3 linked regions of the Arabidopsis thaliana genome follow. The protein of the gene in region 3 purifies or fractionates together with the protein of the main gene of each other region. This does not show direct contact. Each region holds a gene or a part of one and is shown on either strand. Other genes may lie near its edges.

Region 1 (4,119 bases), on a different chromosome or scaffold from region 3:
GCATGCATTAGTCTTGTTTTGGAAGAACCAATTACTCAAACTATCTTTTTTTGTATAGTTTTTGAATAATTTTTCTAGGTTGGTTTACTATGTCTTTGTCTCATTGAATATGGATGCATTAGTCTAATCGAACTTTAGTGTTTTAGACAAAAAAAAAAACAATACTAAGTTGAAACCTACTTCAGAGATGGTCTAATTCCTCAATGCAGACGCTATATGTCCTGTGGATGACCTTGTGTTATGTGTATGTAAAGAGAAAAAAGAGGTTTGATACTAGTATATATCGATTACTTGGTTTGTTGTTTGGTATGTGTTATTTGTGATCAAATAAATTTTGTAGTGATGAAGTTATATGCATCTATCTAGTAAGGACTCCTCTTGTTTTCATCACTAGGTTTTTGTTAACCAATTATAGAACACTGAAGAATAATAAATTACGCATAGTTCTAAATAAGATATCACTATAACTTTCTTTCTTTTTTTGTATAGAGCGAGTTAAATTCCAGTAAACATAGATTATTTACTGCATCATTTGTTGCGACTATTCTGAATTGAGAACAGATTAGCCAAGAGTTGCATACTACATAATCAGTTTAATATATAAGCAAAAGTTACATAAATTGGAGCATGTTGTATCAGAATACTACTCTGTTTTTCCTTCTATTTTTTAAAATCATTTTTCTATCATGTTAAAGTAATATTTTAGCTGCTATATAAAAAATGCATAATAGTTGAGAACTTAAATACTACTTTGAGTACTTTCACTAATACATATTGTTAGAATGAAGCTTCTTCATAACATAAAACTACTTTATTTGTTGTAATCTTTTTAATACAAATTTTATTTGGAGCTAAACTTTATTGGTCACGGTAAATATCCAACTACCAGTTGTAGCTTTCTTGCCGCTTAAGCTTTACAAGGAGAAAGAGGAGAGCCGCAAAGACAGTCATTACCCACAAACGCACTGGCCGGGAACTTTGTTACTGGAAGCTTTCCACAAAGATGGTTGTGACTCACGTTCAATGTCTTTAGTCCAGCCACCATTGCCGGCACCTTCCCAAATACCAAGTTCCTTGATATATCTAAAGTTGTCAGCGTCTTTGCAAACGTTAGCTTCCCCATATCGAATCGTAGTTTGTTACCCGCTGCCTTGAACTCCACTAGATACTCTGTTTGGTTCAAGAACCTTGCTGGACTCCCTGTGATCTCGTTTTCCGACAGATCGATGAAATCATAGTAGAATGTTTGCGCTGGCTTCCAATCGTCTAAGCTCATCTTGATCCCGCATTTTGCTAGCTTCAACGAGAAGATGATCGGCGACGAAGTCACCCATTTCGGGATCGTATTCAAGTGAAACTGGTTGTAAGAAAGATCCAAAGATTCAATGCCTTTAACGTTCAAGACAGGGAATGGATCGGTTAGAAGATTATGGGAGAGATCAAGATTGAATATCTTGGTCAGATTGGCGAAACTCTTCGGTATGACACCCGAGAACCGATTCTTGGAGAGATCCAATGTGTCGAGCGCCTTGAAGTTTGATAAAAAGTTTGGAATCGTCCCGGAGAGTTTGTTATGGCCTAACTCGAGGAACCTAAGAATCGGTGCGAGTGATGCAATGGACGGAGGAAGATTCCCGGAGAATCCGTTGCGGGAGAGAGTTAAAGATCGGAGCTCTGGCATGGATTTGAAAATATCTGGAATGGTTCCAGTGAGACGGTTACCTCCAAGGTTGAGATACGACATGAGCTTGAGATTAGCGACCCCTAACGGTATAGTTCCGGTTAGGAGATTATTGCCGAGTTTGAGTTGAGTTAACAGAGTCAAATTAGATATCGAGCTCGGGATCGGACCGGTGAACCGGTTTCCCTCGAGGCTGAACGCTTCAAGCTGGCTTAGCGCACCGATGTTAGCCGGAAGAGTACCAGAGAGACGGTTATTCTCAATGTATACGTACTTAAGATTTGGTAATTGGAAAAGGAATTGAGGAAAAGAACCAGTGATGTTCTTGAGATCGGTGAAGTAAATCCCATCAAGGTGCTTGAGTTTAGCCAACGACGGCGAGAGAGTGCCGGAGAGGAAGCTTCCAGCAACATCGGCTTGTCCAGCGACAGAGAGTGCAGAGACACGGTCAGTGGTGAGACAAGTGACACCGTTCCAAGAACAACAAGCGGTACCTTTCTTCCAAGAACTGAGAATACCCGAAGGATCTCGGGTTATACCCGCTTTGAAAGCTAGAAGACCCGCTTCATCATCAGGATGACACGTGGCAGCTCCGGTGGGATTTAGACATTGGAGGAAGATGACGAAGGTAAAGATGAAGAGAGTAAAGGAAGAGTTCATGGTGGTGAATTGTGTTGTGTTGATTGAGAGAAGAGAGCTATTAGTAGTGGGGAAAAGATTACTTGAGAGCTGCGAAGTCAAAGTTGACGTTTTTGACCAATCCATTTGCATCTGCATGTGACCATAATTATTAGTGGTATCCGTAATCGTGGTCGAATTTATCATTTTTCCCCGACACACTTGAAAAAGACAGTTTCATTAGATTTTTATTATAGTTTGTCTTTTCTTGACTATTATATATGCATAGGTCTTCTCTTGACAATTAACACGTCTTAATGTTTTGCTAAAAACAAAATTCTACTTTTTTCAGACTTCTTATAATATATTTTCGTTTTTTTTGGTTATATTTTGAAACTCCAGTAAGTCATAGTATTTTTATTTTTCACAACATTTCCGACAAAAGAAACTGTCATAGACTCAAGAGCCAAACGATTCTAACAGCAAGAACAGAGTAATTGATGTTCCAATACATGACTGGGCTGGACTTCCGCCAACTGTTTTTGGCGATGCAATAACACTTCCAGGAAACAATCAGTTTATACAAGACCTCCTTATTAATATTAAAATTACTAGAAGAATATTGAGCATTTATAATATTATATTGTAGCAGTTAATCGTGTTCTGCTATAATTTACTAACCAGCTAAAACGTTATAACGTTTGGTTTTCAAAACGTTATACTATCTTACCCCGGGAAATAAAATGACTCGGGTCAATATTTTTAGATTAGGGGTTATTATTCGATAGCACTAATTTACAAAAACCGCTACCTAATATAGTAGCGCGGAATGAAATTTTTTTGCTCGTTGGAGAATAAAATATTTGGTGACTTTTAACCCCGAAATTTTTTTCTAAGGCCAAAAAACATTGTTCGTGTTCTCACTGTTTTTCATCTCACTGTTCTTCATCTCTTTCAATTCTCTTTTTCAATTCTCTCTGTTTGTGTTCGTGTTCTTCAGCTGTCTGTCTCTCTCCCGTCTCTGTTCGTGTTCTTGCTCAACGCCTCAATCTCTTTTGGTACTCTTCAGCTTCTCAGTCACAGATCTGGTTCTAAATCGAGAAGGTTATGTTTCTTTTGTAATCGATTTAGGGTTTGCATTGTGAAATTGTCTGGTTTGAGTTTCGATTTGGGGTTTTAATCACATTTAGGGTTTGATTTTCAGGTTTCTCAGATTTAGGGGTTTCGATTTGGGGCTTTCGCTATCCGCGTTTCTCAAAGATTTCAGTGGCTTCTCTTTGACAAGTATGTTATTTAGATCGATTTCTGTGGTTCTTAGATCGATTTTGAGTTTCATATAGCTTTGAACTTGACTATTCTCATGTGTCGAATTGAGTTTCATATAGCTTTGATAGTGAGCATTCATTTGTATCGAATTGAGTTTCAAATAGCTTTGATAGCTTGTATTCACTTGTATTGATTAGAACTTGACTATTTTCAGTGACTATTGACTTGTATCGATTAGAAGTTGACTATTTCTGTGACTTTTCACTTGTATCCAATGGAACTTGACTATTTATGTGATTCACTTGTATCGAATTGAGTTAATTTCTGTGGTTCTTAGTATACGTGTAGCTTTGAGTTTATGTGGTTCTTGTATTCAATATAGCTTTGATAGTATTGAATTTTTGTTTTTGAAATTTCTCTTTGTGTCTTTGTTCTTGTATCTCTGTTAACTAATATATATATATATATATATATATATATATATATATAAATATTATCATATATATGGGGTTGGAGCTTGTTGGTGTTTCAAAAATGGATAAGAGTTGGGTATG
Region 2 (6,049 bases), on a different chromosome or scaffold from region 3:
TTCCAAGTATATTTTGGTATTTTGTATATGTTTGGTTATTCGATCTAAAAATAACTAATATTTTGGATATATAATTGGATATTTTTGAGTATCCAAAATATTTTGGTTTGGTTCGGGTTTGATTATAATCTTTTTCGGTTCTAGAATTTTGGACCTATTTGAATATTTTACAATTGGTCTGAGTTCAGTTTGGTTCTTTTTTCTTCGGTTCCAGTTCAATTCTTTCGGTTCACTTATTATGTCCAGACTTAATCCAGACGATGGACTGACTTGACTAATTATATCCGATAAAATCAGACGGGATTTTTGGATCGAGGGACCGGTTCAAGAAATTCTGGTCACGCGGGATCAGAAAATCCAGGTAAGTAAATTTAATTCTTATACTCATTAATTTGACTAACTGTTATGTGTATTTTGTAAAGTTTGGGTATTTAAAAAAAAGTAGAAAATTTGGATAATTTCTGTTAATTTTGTAAAAGTTAAATACATAAACGGAAATACGAGTATCTTTTCCGAAGTCCTCGCCGTTCACTTTAGTAGTAACATTTCGCGTATATGGAAAACAATGTCGGAGGGTTGAAATACTACTTTCACTAATACAATAATACGTATTGATTATCGTTGTTACATGTAGTGGAGCTTCTTGATGTCTTAAGTTAATGGTGTGTTTTTGTTGATTGAGAGAAGCATTCGTGGTAGCTATTAATAGAAGGAAAGTCATCGACTCTAGCGCTGACGATTTTGACCAAGTCATATGCATGTGGTGGCATTACGTGGTGGTATAATCCGTGATCGTTGTTGAGTTTAGCATCTCTGGATCCCTTGAAAGAGACAGTGTCTTTCATCAGATTATTATATAAATGGTTTAACATATCTTCTTTTTCTAGAATTTTGTTGTTACATTGTATTAAAACTCATAAGTCATATAGTTTTTTTCCACTGTCTTATTAGTATTTCTTTCTATCAAATTTAAATAAAATTTTATTTTTATTATGGAATTTAGTTAGGAAAAATAACCATTTTGATTTTTCTCTAACATCTATATATACATTTTTGCAGCCATTTTGTGAAATAAATCCTGGAGTTCGAACTTATTTACAATACCTGCCATTGCCTTTTAATTATTGGTTTTCTTTTGGCAATAAATTGATTAACAAACAAAAAATATTCCAAATATATTATAATCCCATATATCACGCAAATTTCTCCAAAATTTAAACTAGATTTCGGAAACTATTTAAAACAAAAAATATTTGACAAACCAAAATACAATTGCAATCCCTTAAAATGAGCAAAACGCACCTAAATACATTTCCTATCAGTTCACTAAATCTTATTTCTCCAATATTTGAACTAGATTTCGACAACCATTTAAAAAAAAAATTTGTTTGACAAACTAAAATATAATTGCAATCCCGTAAAATATTTATTTAAATTAGCGGTGTATCGCAGATTTTTTTAACGGGACGGGTTTGGTGGAACGAGTTTGGAAGGATATTACTTAATAACAATTGTAAACTATAAAATGTAAATATTTTATAGATAAATATAATTTGCAGACTCTTATATATACTAATTTTAAAAACAAATTGTCTCCGCGGTGTACCGCGGGTTATAATCTAGTTATGTACGTTATTTTCGTCTTACTTTTTTCAACACGTTATTTTAATCTGTCCAACAAAATGTTCGTTATTGACCTTAAATTAGAAGTGAAAGATTTGACTGTTTAGATTTAGAACGATCTAAGTGCAATGATCTAGACAGTGAAAATAAGTTGGCCTCAAGATGGTCAGGTAAACATTATGCTTTATTTTCTTAGCATAATCTAACATTAGTAGCTTTATCTATTTGCCTATTGTAAGAACTAAGAAAGTGAAAATTTAGATTGTTCTCGAAAATCGATTTGTTCAGTTTTCAGTTTATGGTAGTGACATTTAAGATGCATGCTACCTCTCTTATGAATGCCGTAGCGTTCATCGAGATCCATTTGTTTTTATAGCTTTGAATAATAAGGCAAATCTCAGTGTGTCTACAGTTTTAATATTTCATATTATTACACAAATAACTCTAGTTTTCTTGTCTACAAAGTCACCAGTTTCATGATTCTAATGGAACATTTATTCCCAAGATCTTCATTACTTCTTGGATGTAGGGTAGGTACCGAGAGTGAATGTATCAAACTATTGGTTTATATGTGATATTATTTTGTCTGTCTAGATTTTAGATATTTAGCTCACCAATGATTAGACTGCCCACAAAGTAATCAAATTAATGTTGGAAATTGAGAATAACCGATCAATAATTTGTTAAAACATCAACATGATTTATATTTACATGGCTATGTACTGTATTATCAAATTTCTTAAATATTATAAGGTTTTTTTTAAACAAAAAAATCACAAATTATGGTAAGTGGTCATAATATTATTTTTTCTAAACATGTTTTACTTTTTCTTTTAACTGACAAAAGTTCATTATTCTGTAACTTCTGTTAATGTTCTGTTAGTTAGTGTTCTGTTCTGTTATCTTTTAGGGCTGTACAAACAAAAAATGTTAATTTGGAGATCTAGAGTGTTAGTTTAATTAATTTGGAGGTTTATAATGCTAGTGAAAATATCTTGAGGTTTAAAGTGCTGCTCAGTGTTAGGTTTAAAATGTGATTTTCCCCTTAAATATTTTGTTATTTTCTATTCCAGTAAAAAAAATAAAAATCATGTCCATGTATGGCGTAGCCGAGTAGGCTAATTTTGTTATTACAAATCTTATTCAGAGCTATGTGTTACAGTACTCAACTACAAAATTGTACCTTTTTGCCGCTAAATTTTACAAGGAGAAAGCGGAGAGCCGCAGAGACAGTCATTACCGACAAACGCGCTGGCCGGGAATTTAGTCACTGGAAGCTTTCCACAAAGATGGTTATGACTCAAGTTCAATTTTTGCAGTTTAGCCACGGTCATTGGTACCTTCCCAAATATCAAATTCCTTGATAGATCGAGGCTTTCTAGTCTCTCACTTAAATTCAGCTTCCCCATGTCGAATCGAAGTTTGTTCCCTGACGCTTGAAACTCATATAGGTTATGCGCTAGGTTGAAGAACCATGTTAGACTCCCTGAGATCTCGTTTTCTGACAGATCGATGTAAAAGTAAATATTGGGTCTCACTGGCTTCCAATTGTCTAAGCTCATATTGATCCCGCATTTTACCAGCTTCAACGAGTACATGGACGGCGACGAGGTCACCCATTTCGGTATCGTTTTGAGGTGAAATTGGTTGTATGAAAGATCTAGAGTGGCAAGGCCATCAACGTTCTTCATGGCAGGGAGTGGACCAGTTAGAAAATTGTGGGAGAGATTGAGATGGAAAAGTTTAGGCATATTGGCTAAACTCTTCGGAACAACCCCAGAGAACCTATTTCTAGAAAGATCCAATGAGTCTAGTACCTTGAAGTTTGATAAAAAGGTCGGGATTGTCCCAGAGAGATTATTCTGGCTTAGATCGAGGTAATTGAGAATTGGTTTGAGTGATGCAATGGACGGAGGAAGATTTCCAGAGAATTTGTTGCGGGAGAGGGTTAGAGATTGGAGCTTCTGCATGGATTTGAAAATATCCGGTATGGTTTCAGAGAGACGATTGTTGCCAAAGTTGAGTGACAACAAGATCTTGAGATTAGCAAGACCTAAAGGTATAGTTCCGGTTAAGAGATTATCTCCAAGATTGAGCAGATATAACCGGGTTAAATTGGAAATGGAACTCGGGATCGGACCAGTAAACAGGTTTCCGTCGAGACTTAGTTCTCCTAACTCGCTTAGCGCACCAATGTTAGCTGGAAGAGGACCGGAGAGACGGCTATTCGTGAAGTAGACTTGTTTTACATTTGGTAATTGGAAAAGGAATTGAGGAAAAGAACCAGTGATGTTTCGAAGATTGGTGAAGTAAATACCAACAAGGTGTTGGAGTTTGGCCAATGACGGCGAGATAGTGCCAGAAAGAAAGCTTCCAGTAACATCAGATTGTCCGTTGATAGTGAGTCCGGTGACGCGGTTGGTGAGACAACCGACACCCTTCCATGAACAGCAGTCAGTACCTTTCTTCCAAGAGCTGAGAATACCCGTAGGATCTTGAGTTATACCCGATTTAAAAGCTAAAAGACCCGCCTCGTCATCAGGATGACACGTGGCAGCTTCAATGGGACTTAAACACCGGAGAAAGATAACGAATGCAAAGATGAAGAGAGGGAAGCAACAAGAGTTCATGGTTGAGTTGTGTTGATTGAAAGACACAATTGGTCGCTATTAATAGAAGGAAAACGTTGAATCAAGAGCTGCCGATTTTGACCAATTCATGTTCATGTGGTGGCAATAAGTTGTGGTAATATCCGTAATCGTTGTCGAATTTATTATCTCTCAACCCCTCGAAAGAGACAGTTTCTTTCATCAGATTTTTATAATATTTTGATGATTATAGATAAAGGATTTATGTATCTTATTTTTCTAGAACTTTGTTGTCAAATTACAATTGTTTTCTATCATGTTTAAATAATATTTTGGGCTATTATGAAACTTAGTTTGGAAAGAAATTTCATTTATGTTTTCTCAAAATGTACGTTATTTTTGAAAAAAAAAAAATATTTATTAACATGTTATTTTTGTCTAACAATATGTACATTATTGACCACAAAATAAAAGTCAAATATATCTAAGTACAATGATCCAGATTGTGGACTAAGTTGGCCTCGAGATGGGCCGATAGATTCATGCCTTAATTTTCTTAGCGTAATCCAACATTAACATAAGTAGCTTTATCTATTTGTTTATCGTAAGAAATTATAGTGGAATCTTAGCTTGTTTTGGAAGAACCAATTACTCAATTTTCGTTTATGGTGGTGAAGTTTTAAGATGCTGCATGCATTAGTCTTGTTTTGGAAGAACCAATTACTCAAACTATCTTTTTTTGTATAGTTTTTGAATAATTTTTCTAGGTTGGTTTACTATGTCTTTGTCTCATTGAATATGGATGCATTAGTCTAATCGAACTTTAGTGTTTTAGACAAAAAAAAAAACAATACTAAGTTGAAACCTACTTCAGAGATGGTCTAATTCCTCAATGCAGACGCTATATGTCCTGTGGATGACCTTGTGTTATGTGTATGTAAAGAGAAAAAAGAGGTTTGATACTAGTATATATCGATTACTTGGTTTGTTGTTTGGTATGTGTTATTTGTGATCAAATAAATTTTGTAGTGATGAAGTTATATGCATCTATCTAGTAAGGACTCCTCTTGTTTTCATCACTAGGTTTTTGTTAACCAATTATAGAACACTGAAGAATAATAAATTACGCATAGTTCTAAATAAGATATCACTATAACTTTCTTTCTTTTTTTGTATAGAGCGAGTTAAATTCCAGTAAACATAGATTATTTACTGCATCATTTGTTGCGACTATTCTGAATTGAGAACAGATTAGCCAAGAGTTGCATACTACATAATCAGTTTAATATATAAGCAAAAGTTACATAAATTGGAGCATGTTGTATCAGAATACTACTCTGTTTTTCCTTCTATTTTTTAAAATCATTTTTCTATCATGTTAAAGTAATATTTTAGCTGCTATATAAAAAATGCATAATAGTTGAGAACTTAAATACTACTTTGAGTACTTTCACTAATACATATTGTTAGAATGAAGCTTCTTCATAACATAAAACTACTTTATTTGTTGTAATCTTTTTAATACAAATTTTATTTGGAGCTAAACTTTATTGGTCACGGTAAATATCCAACTACCAGTTGTAGCTTTCTTGCCGCTTAAGCTTTACAAGGAGAAAGAGGAGAGCCGCAAAGACAGTCATTACCCACAAACGCACTGGCCGGGAACTTTGTTACTGGAAGCTTTCCACAAAGATGGTTGTGACTCACGTTCAATGTCTTTAGTCCAGCCACCATTGCCGGCACCTTCCCAAATACCAAGTTCCTTGATATATCTAAAGTTGTCAGCGTCTTTGCAAACGTTAGCTTCCCCATATCGAATCGTAGTTTGTTACCCGCTG
Region 3 (7,786 bases):
TGCAGCTGATGAACACAACATCAGCAGCACCAGCAACAGCAACAAACACTCAACATCTTCAAAAACCTCCAGCTTTATCAGAGAAGAAAGACCCCTGAATCAGATAGATTATTATACTCTACTTAGGACAGAAAATAACTTACCAGAGAGAGCACGCTGAAATCTGCCTCACCACCGCCCTATATTATCAGGTAATCCCACCGTAATTTTTCTTTCTCAGTGGCGGTTGTTGCGGCTTCAACGCATTGGCAGGTGATTAGAGAGAGTAATAGACACAAGCTTTTATTGTGTCGTTAAGCTTTCTTCTCACTTTTCTCTTTCTTTTCTTATAAAGTCTCCTCTTTAAAGCCCCTTGTGGCTGGTGTAGATTTTGGTGAGCTTTGTTTCTTTACTACACGAATTTTTTGTTAGTTTTTTTTTTGTGTTCAGTATCACTTTTTATGTTGATGGTTTAGCTGTGGAACACCCTTGTTTACTGTGTCGGATTATGATCTGAGATGTTTCTCAATCAGCTTCTGTAGGATTTGAAAGTAATATATAATAAATCCTTAATTTGATTATAAAAAAAAAGATGTAAATTTCTTCATATTTTTCTCTCTGGCTAGAACAAATCATAACTTTATGAAACTGACGTCACTACAAACATTTATTAAGAGCAGAAAATTGTTTATTTTAAGAGTGTTAACAACAACCACACCTTAATAGCATTTTAACTTTGAACTTTGAAACAACAAGAGAGACTGATTTATTTTCATTTAGTGACTAACACCTTCAGCCTCTCCTTCTGCATATACTTAATTAAACGCTTCACAATTTGGACCTCGACGATTTCGATTCACTCTGCAGCCAAAACCAGAATTTTCATCATGAATAAATCGACTATACACTGACTAGTACTGCATTCATACGCTTGGAAACATTTCCATCATAGAGATCTAGTTATTATCATAAATTGTTTACTCAAAACTTCATTTTTACTAGCCAAACTACAAAACAATTCTACATAGTTCATGCCATACTTGAACCCAAAATCTAATGTTAGCAGGTCCCTTGCAGCAGATGAATCAACCTAAATTCTATTCTCATATCGTTTATCGATTTGTTAATAAGAGAACTTGGTTGGTACTGTGTTTTCTTGCCACATCATAAAATGTAAAAGAAAGTTGAGAAACTTTACCAAAAGCATTCCATTCATTGCTCTTTCCTCCAGATACCTCGATGGTTTGAAAAAGCTGCCATAAGTCTCCGACAATTTCTTGAGCCTCTCATATATGTACTTTGGTCCAACAGTGTCTGCCCAGAAAACAATTCCTCCCCTGCAACAGGTAAAAAAAATTGCTTAACATAAGAAATGATCATACACCAAAAATCTTAGTGACTAACAAAAGAAAGGAAAAAGTTTTGAGGATATTGTGAACGTTTGTAAATGACCAGAAGAAACTCAAAGATGTGAAAAAATCATATGCATAAGATTTGAGCAGAGGTAATGCATTTCCAGAATTTCACAAAATGCTCCCTTTTGCTTTATGGGGATTATGACTTAGAATCCTCACCGGTAAGAAGGAAAACTCATTCCAAGGACAGACGCAATGTCCAAGTCTGAGGCTCGGATCACAACTCCTTCATCTAGGACGCGGCATGCCTCGTTGACAACAGGGAATAAGATCATCTCTACAATTTCTTTATCAGTTACTGATATAGGCTGCAAAAGAAGAACAGACAATAGTGCATTTCATTTTTTTAAATACCAATAGTAGTACTGATATATTTCATAAGACCTCCTCTTTTTTTACCTTCCCACCAGGCATGATATTGGTCAGTTTCCTTGATTTCTCAACAATTGAAAGCACTGATGGATCAGGTTTTGGTTTGCTTCCCTTTTCGTATATATAGTATCCTCTTCCGTTGATTTTTCCTGAAGCCAGAAATGTTAAAAGTGGACACATTAGGAATTTCAAAAGGTAAGAGCAATGACATACCATTTCGCCCGCTCTTAAGAAGAAGCTCTGTCATTGGAGATCTGAACATGCGGTCACCATAGACCTTGGCATATATCGGCCCAACTGCTAATCCAATCCCGTGTCCAGCCAAATCACCAAGCCTGAGAAGTGAGTCATCGAAAAAAAAAAAATTCTTCAGTTGCTGAGATAGCCATAGAGCAACACTGAGAGTAACACATACACATACGGACACACATACACTGTAGGTAACAAAATATAGAGGGAGAGACTTACTGGAAAGGGCCCAATGGCAAGCCGAAAGAGGTAATAACGCTGTCAATTCTGAACAAGTCAACACCTAGATTGGCCAACATATGTGCAGCTTGTGAATAAGGAAAGAATGTCCTATTCACTGCAAAGCCTATGCAGTTTCCAACCACCACGGGAACTTTCTTTATGGCCTTTCCAACCGCCATGAGATCCAGAATCACCTGAGCAGAAGTATTCTTTGAACGAACAATCTCGAGAAGGGGCATCAGATGGGCCGGACTATAAAAAGACAAACCATTTGTATATTACACTAAAAATACGAAAAAAGCATAAAAATTTTGAGGCATTGGAAACGCAGAATGACCTGAAGAAATGTGCGCCAACAATGCGATCTTTTGAGTTAGTCTTTTCACCAATTACATCGAGGTCGATAGTAGATGTATTACTCGCCAAAATGCAGTGGGGTGAACAAACCTTTTCGATTTCTTTGAATATGTTTTGTTTCAATTGAATGTTTTCAATCACTGCCTGCAAAATGATACCAGGAGCAAGGCCTTACAGTAAGAAGACATAAATACGAGTTGTCCCTCTCTTCGAATTATCTAGATTTGTATATACTTGAAAGTTGAAACAAAAAAGAACGACATATAACACCAAAGTAGATAACTAAAATTGAAGGCAGACCTCTATGACCATGTCCACATCATTGAATTCTGTGTAATCAAGTACTCCCTTGAACAAAGAGAGGGCCTTTCCTGCTTTATCTTGTGTCAGTTTCCCCCTAGATACCAAGCTTTTCATATTTGCTGTCACAAGAAAAAAAACGAACTTTATTGCATCTACTCACTGTAACAGGAATAGTAATAATCATATATTTTATTATTCCATCATATTCAATGGATACTTCGTTTGGCTTCAAACAACTCACTGAAGTGTTTGTACACTTTTCTAATTTCTTAGGGCTGCAAACTACTATATAACACTTCATCTAAGAGAACCTTTTTATTATGCAACCAATTTTTATGAAGAACGATTTTGGGCTGACAACGTAGATAACAGTTCAAATTTTTGGTATTTGACCAAGATAGATACTTCTATAAAATAGCAACTGGATATGTTATGGATAAGATAATAACCTTCAACTGATTTTATTCCCTTCATAAGGAATTCTGAGTTTATTTCTTTGAGCACAACTCTTATATTGCTTAGAAGTAGAGCCGTAGCGATGCCTGAACCCATCAGACCGCCACCAATAACTGCAACTTTTTTTATCGGCCTTGGTTTCAATCCAACGTCAGTTACATTAGGCACCTGAAAAGTGTTTTAAGAGATGCTCAGGATGAACACTGAAAGTGAAAACTAGAAGTGCTAGAAGAAACAAACACAACATATGCCAATCTCACTTTTGATGTTGCACGTTGTGCAAAGAAAACATGAACAAGACCCTTTGCAGTGTCTGACAGTACTAGTTGCTTGAAAACTTCTGCTTCCTGCGAATCAAAGAGTTTAGGTACATAGCCAACTAGACAATTACCGCAAGTAATCAATGCAAGGAATGGACAGATTTTGTGAAATGAAGCACTCATGATTCCCTAATTTAAAAAGTCGAATGAGCACCAACGAGCAGTAAATGATCTATGTCAAAGCTATTGAAGAAATACGGTAAACGTCGAAATCCTAAAGATACCTTGAGAACCCCACTGTATCCTCCATGGATGATTCCTTCTTCAATCACCTCAATGCAAGCATGGTGCTGAGGCATATTTGGGGCAATCTTCTTGGCTAGCTGTCTTGAATTCTTCAATATAGCACGAGCTTCAGATAAAGAACCAATTTTGTCGGTTCTGTGCAGTGACTGCAGAAAGGGTTTACGTCCCTCTGCAATGTCTAGAGCCCACTTTCTGGATGTGCTCAACACATCTCCAGGTGGCACCAAGGCATCAATGAGACCCAGTTTGTGCCCCTCTTCTGAGGATATTGACTTAGAAAGCTACCGAAATACCAGCATATAGTTTAATACAATTTTCAGCGAAGCAAATCATATTGACGCAAACTTGGTAATAAAACTGTTGGTAACTGCAGAAAATGTCATCCTTACCAGTATCATATCCGTTGCTTTTGCAAGGCCTACTAACCTTGGAAGACGTTGGGTTCCTTCATAGACACAATTAGCTCAATTATATACATATCTATTAATAAAGAAAACCTAGCCAAAAAAAGTATCGCCTTCATTTAAAAGAAGACGTAGCTGAAAAAACAAACCCATACCTCCAAAACCAGGAATCACTCCAAGAGTCAGTTCTGGTAAGCCTAATTGAGCTTTCGGAGCAGCAACTCTGGCATGACACGCCTAAAGAATTTCGAGTTACAGAAAAATCAACACAAAAAGTTAAGAATATCAAAACACACTTTAAAACGCACAAAAGGGAAAGAAACTCAAAACTCCCACCATTGCAAGTTCCAAACCACCACCAAGAGCTAATCCTTCAACTGCAGCAACAACCGGCTTCCTGGAGTCTGTGATAACCGAATAACAACACCAACATCAGCATCACATCATTTGATAGTTGCAGTGCAACTTACATGTGATAGTTGCAGTCCAACTTATTGAGAAATACATCAACCCTGAAAGAACAAAAAATCTGAAACTAAAAAGAAGCTAAATACCTTCCATCAGGTTACACACAAGCTCAACAGATACTTCAGGCATAAGCGATAAATCCCCTGCCAAGAAACAAGAGTCTCAAAACCCATAACACCAATTTGATTCACTATATAAATAAGTACTAACAACAGAAGAAACTTTACCAGTCTTATGAACTTGCTGAAAGACATTGATATCAAAACCACCCGAAAATCTTCCATTGTTCCCTGAAGTGATAAACAAATTCAAGCTCCTTAAGCAACAACAACGATAAGAAAAAGGATTAAACTTTCAAACCCCTTCAATACATTAATTTACAATTTCACAATCGCTAGCTACAAGATCGAATACAATCCTTCAAAACAAAAGTTTACCGATCAACACGATGGCCTTAACATCATTCCTTTGATTGGCGTCACGAAACTTCTCCTTCAACCCAGAAATAACTGAGAATTCACACAACCAAACAAGATCAAATCAGCTTAAACCAAACCAATTCCAGATAAAAAAATCGTGCATGATCTAATCAATCACAGAGAAACATTTAAGCTTTTTTAATACTTGGACTGGCTAAAGAGTTAACAGGAGGGTTAGAAATGGTGATGACAGCAACACCATCGTTCCCAACTTCCATCGTTACTCCAATCTTCTTCGCCATAGCTTAATTTCTCTCTGATGAGATTGAAAAATGAAAGCTTTATTATTCGGTGAGTGACAAAATTGGATAAAGATCTGGTTTTGTGATAAAAATGGGGCCTTTGATAAATCAGGAGTTTACATTTGTAACGTGATCGATATTTCTTTCCTAACTTGTTGTTTCGTCATTTTCGTCATAAGCAACCAAATCTTCTGGTCAACAAGGCCGCATTCATATTTGTTTGGGGCCTGTCCAGCTAGTTAATATTCAACTATATGAATCCCGATTGATAAACATAGAGCGGTAACAAAATAATTTAGAAGATAACATCACAAGTTGAGAGTTCCTTTTTAGATATTGGTTTAGTAGTTACCAAATTCAAAATCGTTAACTCTCAACTTATACCGGTTCAGTTTAAACTTCGAACCCACAAATATTGGGCTTCTTAATACATTTTTGTGATTTGCAGGCCAATAGTGGACTACAACGACAAGTATATTGAGCCATGTACGGGCCCATCTTCTTAATTCAATTATTACAACAACAACAAAAAATAAATAAAAAAACTCACTTTATTAAAGTAAAAGATAAATCACAAAATACGACAAAAAAAATAAAAAAAAAATCACAAAATATTATAATGATTTATAATTTTTCTTTAAAAAAATAAGTTTGTGCTATAAAATAATAATTAAACATTATATTGACAAGTAAGTGTTAAGAAAAAAAAAACATTATATTGACAAGTAATTAAAATAAAATATTCGCAGCCAATAAGAACCAAACCTAACATTATAGTTAATGGAGTAATTTTTATTCAGACGATTAAGATCGTATACAATAGTTAATGTACCCTTACTTTCAGCAAATCTAAGCCCGAACAAAACCAAGGATGTGAACAAATATATCTATAAGCGTTTGTGGTTTTCTCCGAATAATGCTATATAATGTACCATGACAAATATAATTATATGAAAATGTCCACTAACATTTGTTGGTTTGAAAATTTATAGTTTTGTATATTCAGTACTTAGTATATATAAGATCCACAATCTTTTGTTTTCTGTTAAACGATTTCAGCCTAATGATTTGACAAATGACTAAAATAGTTTCAAATAATTTGAATCGATAGCAAATTATTGTAGATTAAATTCGGTTTTAGTCCGATACCATTTGCTGCCAACACATCAAAGACTAAACTATCAAGATCAAATGATCAACCATTAAGTATGCTATTCTCTTAGCTGTACCACAGTAGAAATGTAAAGTCATTTTAAATTGAAGCTTCATACTTATAACTTACGAGTATTAATCACAAGAGAAGAGAGAGAGACTATATAGTCTATAGTATATGATTTTTTTTTTTACACAGTCTATAGTATATTAATATGTTTTGATATGAAGACAAAACAGCATTGAAGAGGTGAAATAACTGAACTACAAGAAAGGCCCAACGAACAACTTATTTTCACTGGCTTCAGCTGTCATTCTTAATATCTCAGAGAGATACATAATGCCTTGGATAGAATAATATTGCTTCTGTTCGAAATCTCGTGATCATTTAATTTTCAGTGACAATTTATTTTCCAGGTTTTAGGGTGTTTATAGTTCAGTATCGTCAATAAATGACTAAAAACTCTAATCTTTGAACTAGCTAGTACCATTTAAAGTTGCAATGTTTAATATGAATTCGCGATTTGTAAAAATTATATGGGTCTTAGTTGTTTCTTATTTTGCTTAGAAGTTAAAACTGTGTATTTCAAAACCGACACTATATATAAACTCTAAACAAGATTGTAATTGTTTGATCTCTTATGTATCAAAGAACAAATTTGACATAGATCAATTTTTACTTAATACATCTACTCGACTATTGTATAACTCAAATAAAAATATCATTACTCTTGCCTCCTACCCAAAACACATCTGATTTGTCATCCTCACCTTCTTCCTGAGTAAACAATTTCCTTAAGAAACGCAACTAATCACCAATTAACTTACGAGCTTCGAGTTTTGTATTAATATTACTTATTACATCATCATTTCTCGAGAAATACTGTTTACTTTATGGATTTGAAAGATTTTTTTAATCTTCCATATTAATCTTTTTGTCTCCCAACCTGTCAATTTAATGCATTTACATGTTCTACTAACTTTGGCCTTTGGGCGCAGCCACATGCTCTGCATGCTCTCATTTATTGCACTTGTAGTGTATACATATATGTACATTAATAAGGTGCTATTTATACTTAACATTTTCGGTTTATTTCTTTACTTTTTGTCAAAAAGTTTATA

What was found. Proteins that work in one complex are often made in the same cells at the same time.
Region 1: the proteins of AIM1 (region 3) and AT1G33590 fractionate together in Arabidopsis thaliana (co-fractionation; one large-scale study listed by BioGRID). This does not show direct contact.
Region 2: the proteins of AIM1 (region 3) and AT1G33600 fractionate together in Arabidopsis thaliana (co-fractionation; one large-scale study listed by BioGRID). This does not show direct contact.

The regions. Positions count from the first base shown.
Region 1 is NC_003070.9:12,176,010-12,180,128, reverse strand, and holds AT1G33590 (Leucine-rich repeat (LRR) family protein), read right to left. Parts: upstream 2,457-4,119; 5' UTR 2,453-2,456; coding exon 908-2,452; 3' UTR 501-907; downstream 1-500.
Region 2 is NC_003070.9:12,178,980-12,185,028, reverse strand, and holds AT1G33600 (Leucine-rich repeat (LRR) family protein), read right to left. Parts: upstream 4,254-6,049; coding exon 2,817-4,253; 3' UTR 2,807-2,816; exon of another isoform or gene 2,429-2,806; intron 830-2,428; exon of another isoform or gene 822-829; 3' UTR 501-821; downstream 1-500. Other genes in the region: AT1G33590 (Leucine-rich repeat (LRR) family protein), read right to left, coding at 5,808-6,049.
Region 3 is NC_003075.7:14,296,505-14,304,290, forward strand, and holds AIM1 (Enoyl-CoA hydratase/isomerase family), read right to left. Parts: upstream 5,784-7,786; 5' UTR 5,513-5,783; coding exon 5,416-5,512; intron 5,301-5,415; coding exon 5,229-5,300; intron 5,082-5,228; coding exon 5,019-5,081; intron 4,935-5,018; coding exon 4,878-4,934; intron 4,728-4,877; coding exon 4,660-4,727; intron 4,561-4,659; coding exon 4,479-4,560; intron 4,365-4,478; coding exon 4,309-4,364; intron 4,201-4,308; coding exon 3,898-4,200; intron 3,701-3,897; coding exon 3,614-3,700; intron 3,522-3,613; coding exon 3,347-3,521; intron 3,017-3,346; coding exon 2,895-3,016; intron 2,739-2,894; coding exon 2,575-2,738; intron 2,490-2,574; coding exon 2,235-2,489; intron 2,102-2,234; coding exon 1,980-2,101; intron 1,916-1,979; coding exon 1,794-1,915; intron 1,703-1,793; coding exon 1,554-1,702; intron 1,317-1,553; coding exon 1,178-1,316; intron 841-1,177; coding exon 808-840; 3' UTR 540-807; downstream 1-539. Other genes in the region: AT4G29000 (Tesmin/TSO1-like CXC domain-containing protein), read left to right, coding at 1-98. UniProt on the Arabidopsis thaliana protein: Involved in peroxisomal fatty acid beta-oxidation. Required for wound-induced jasmonate biosynthesis.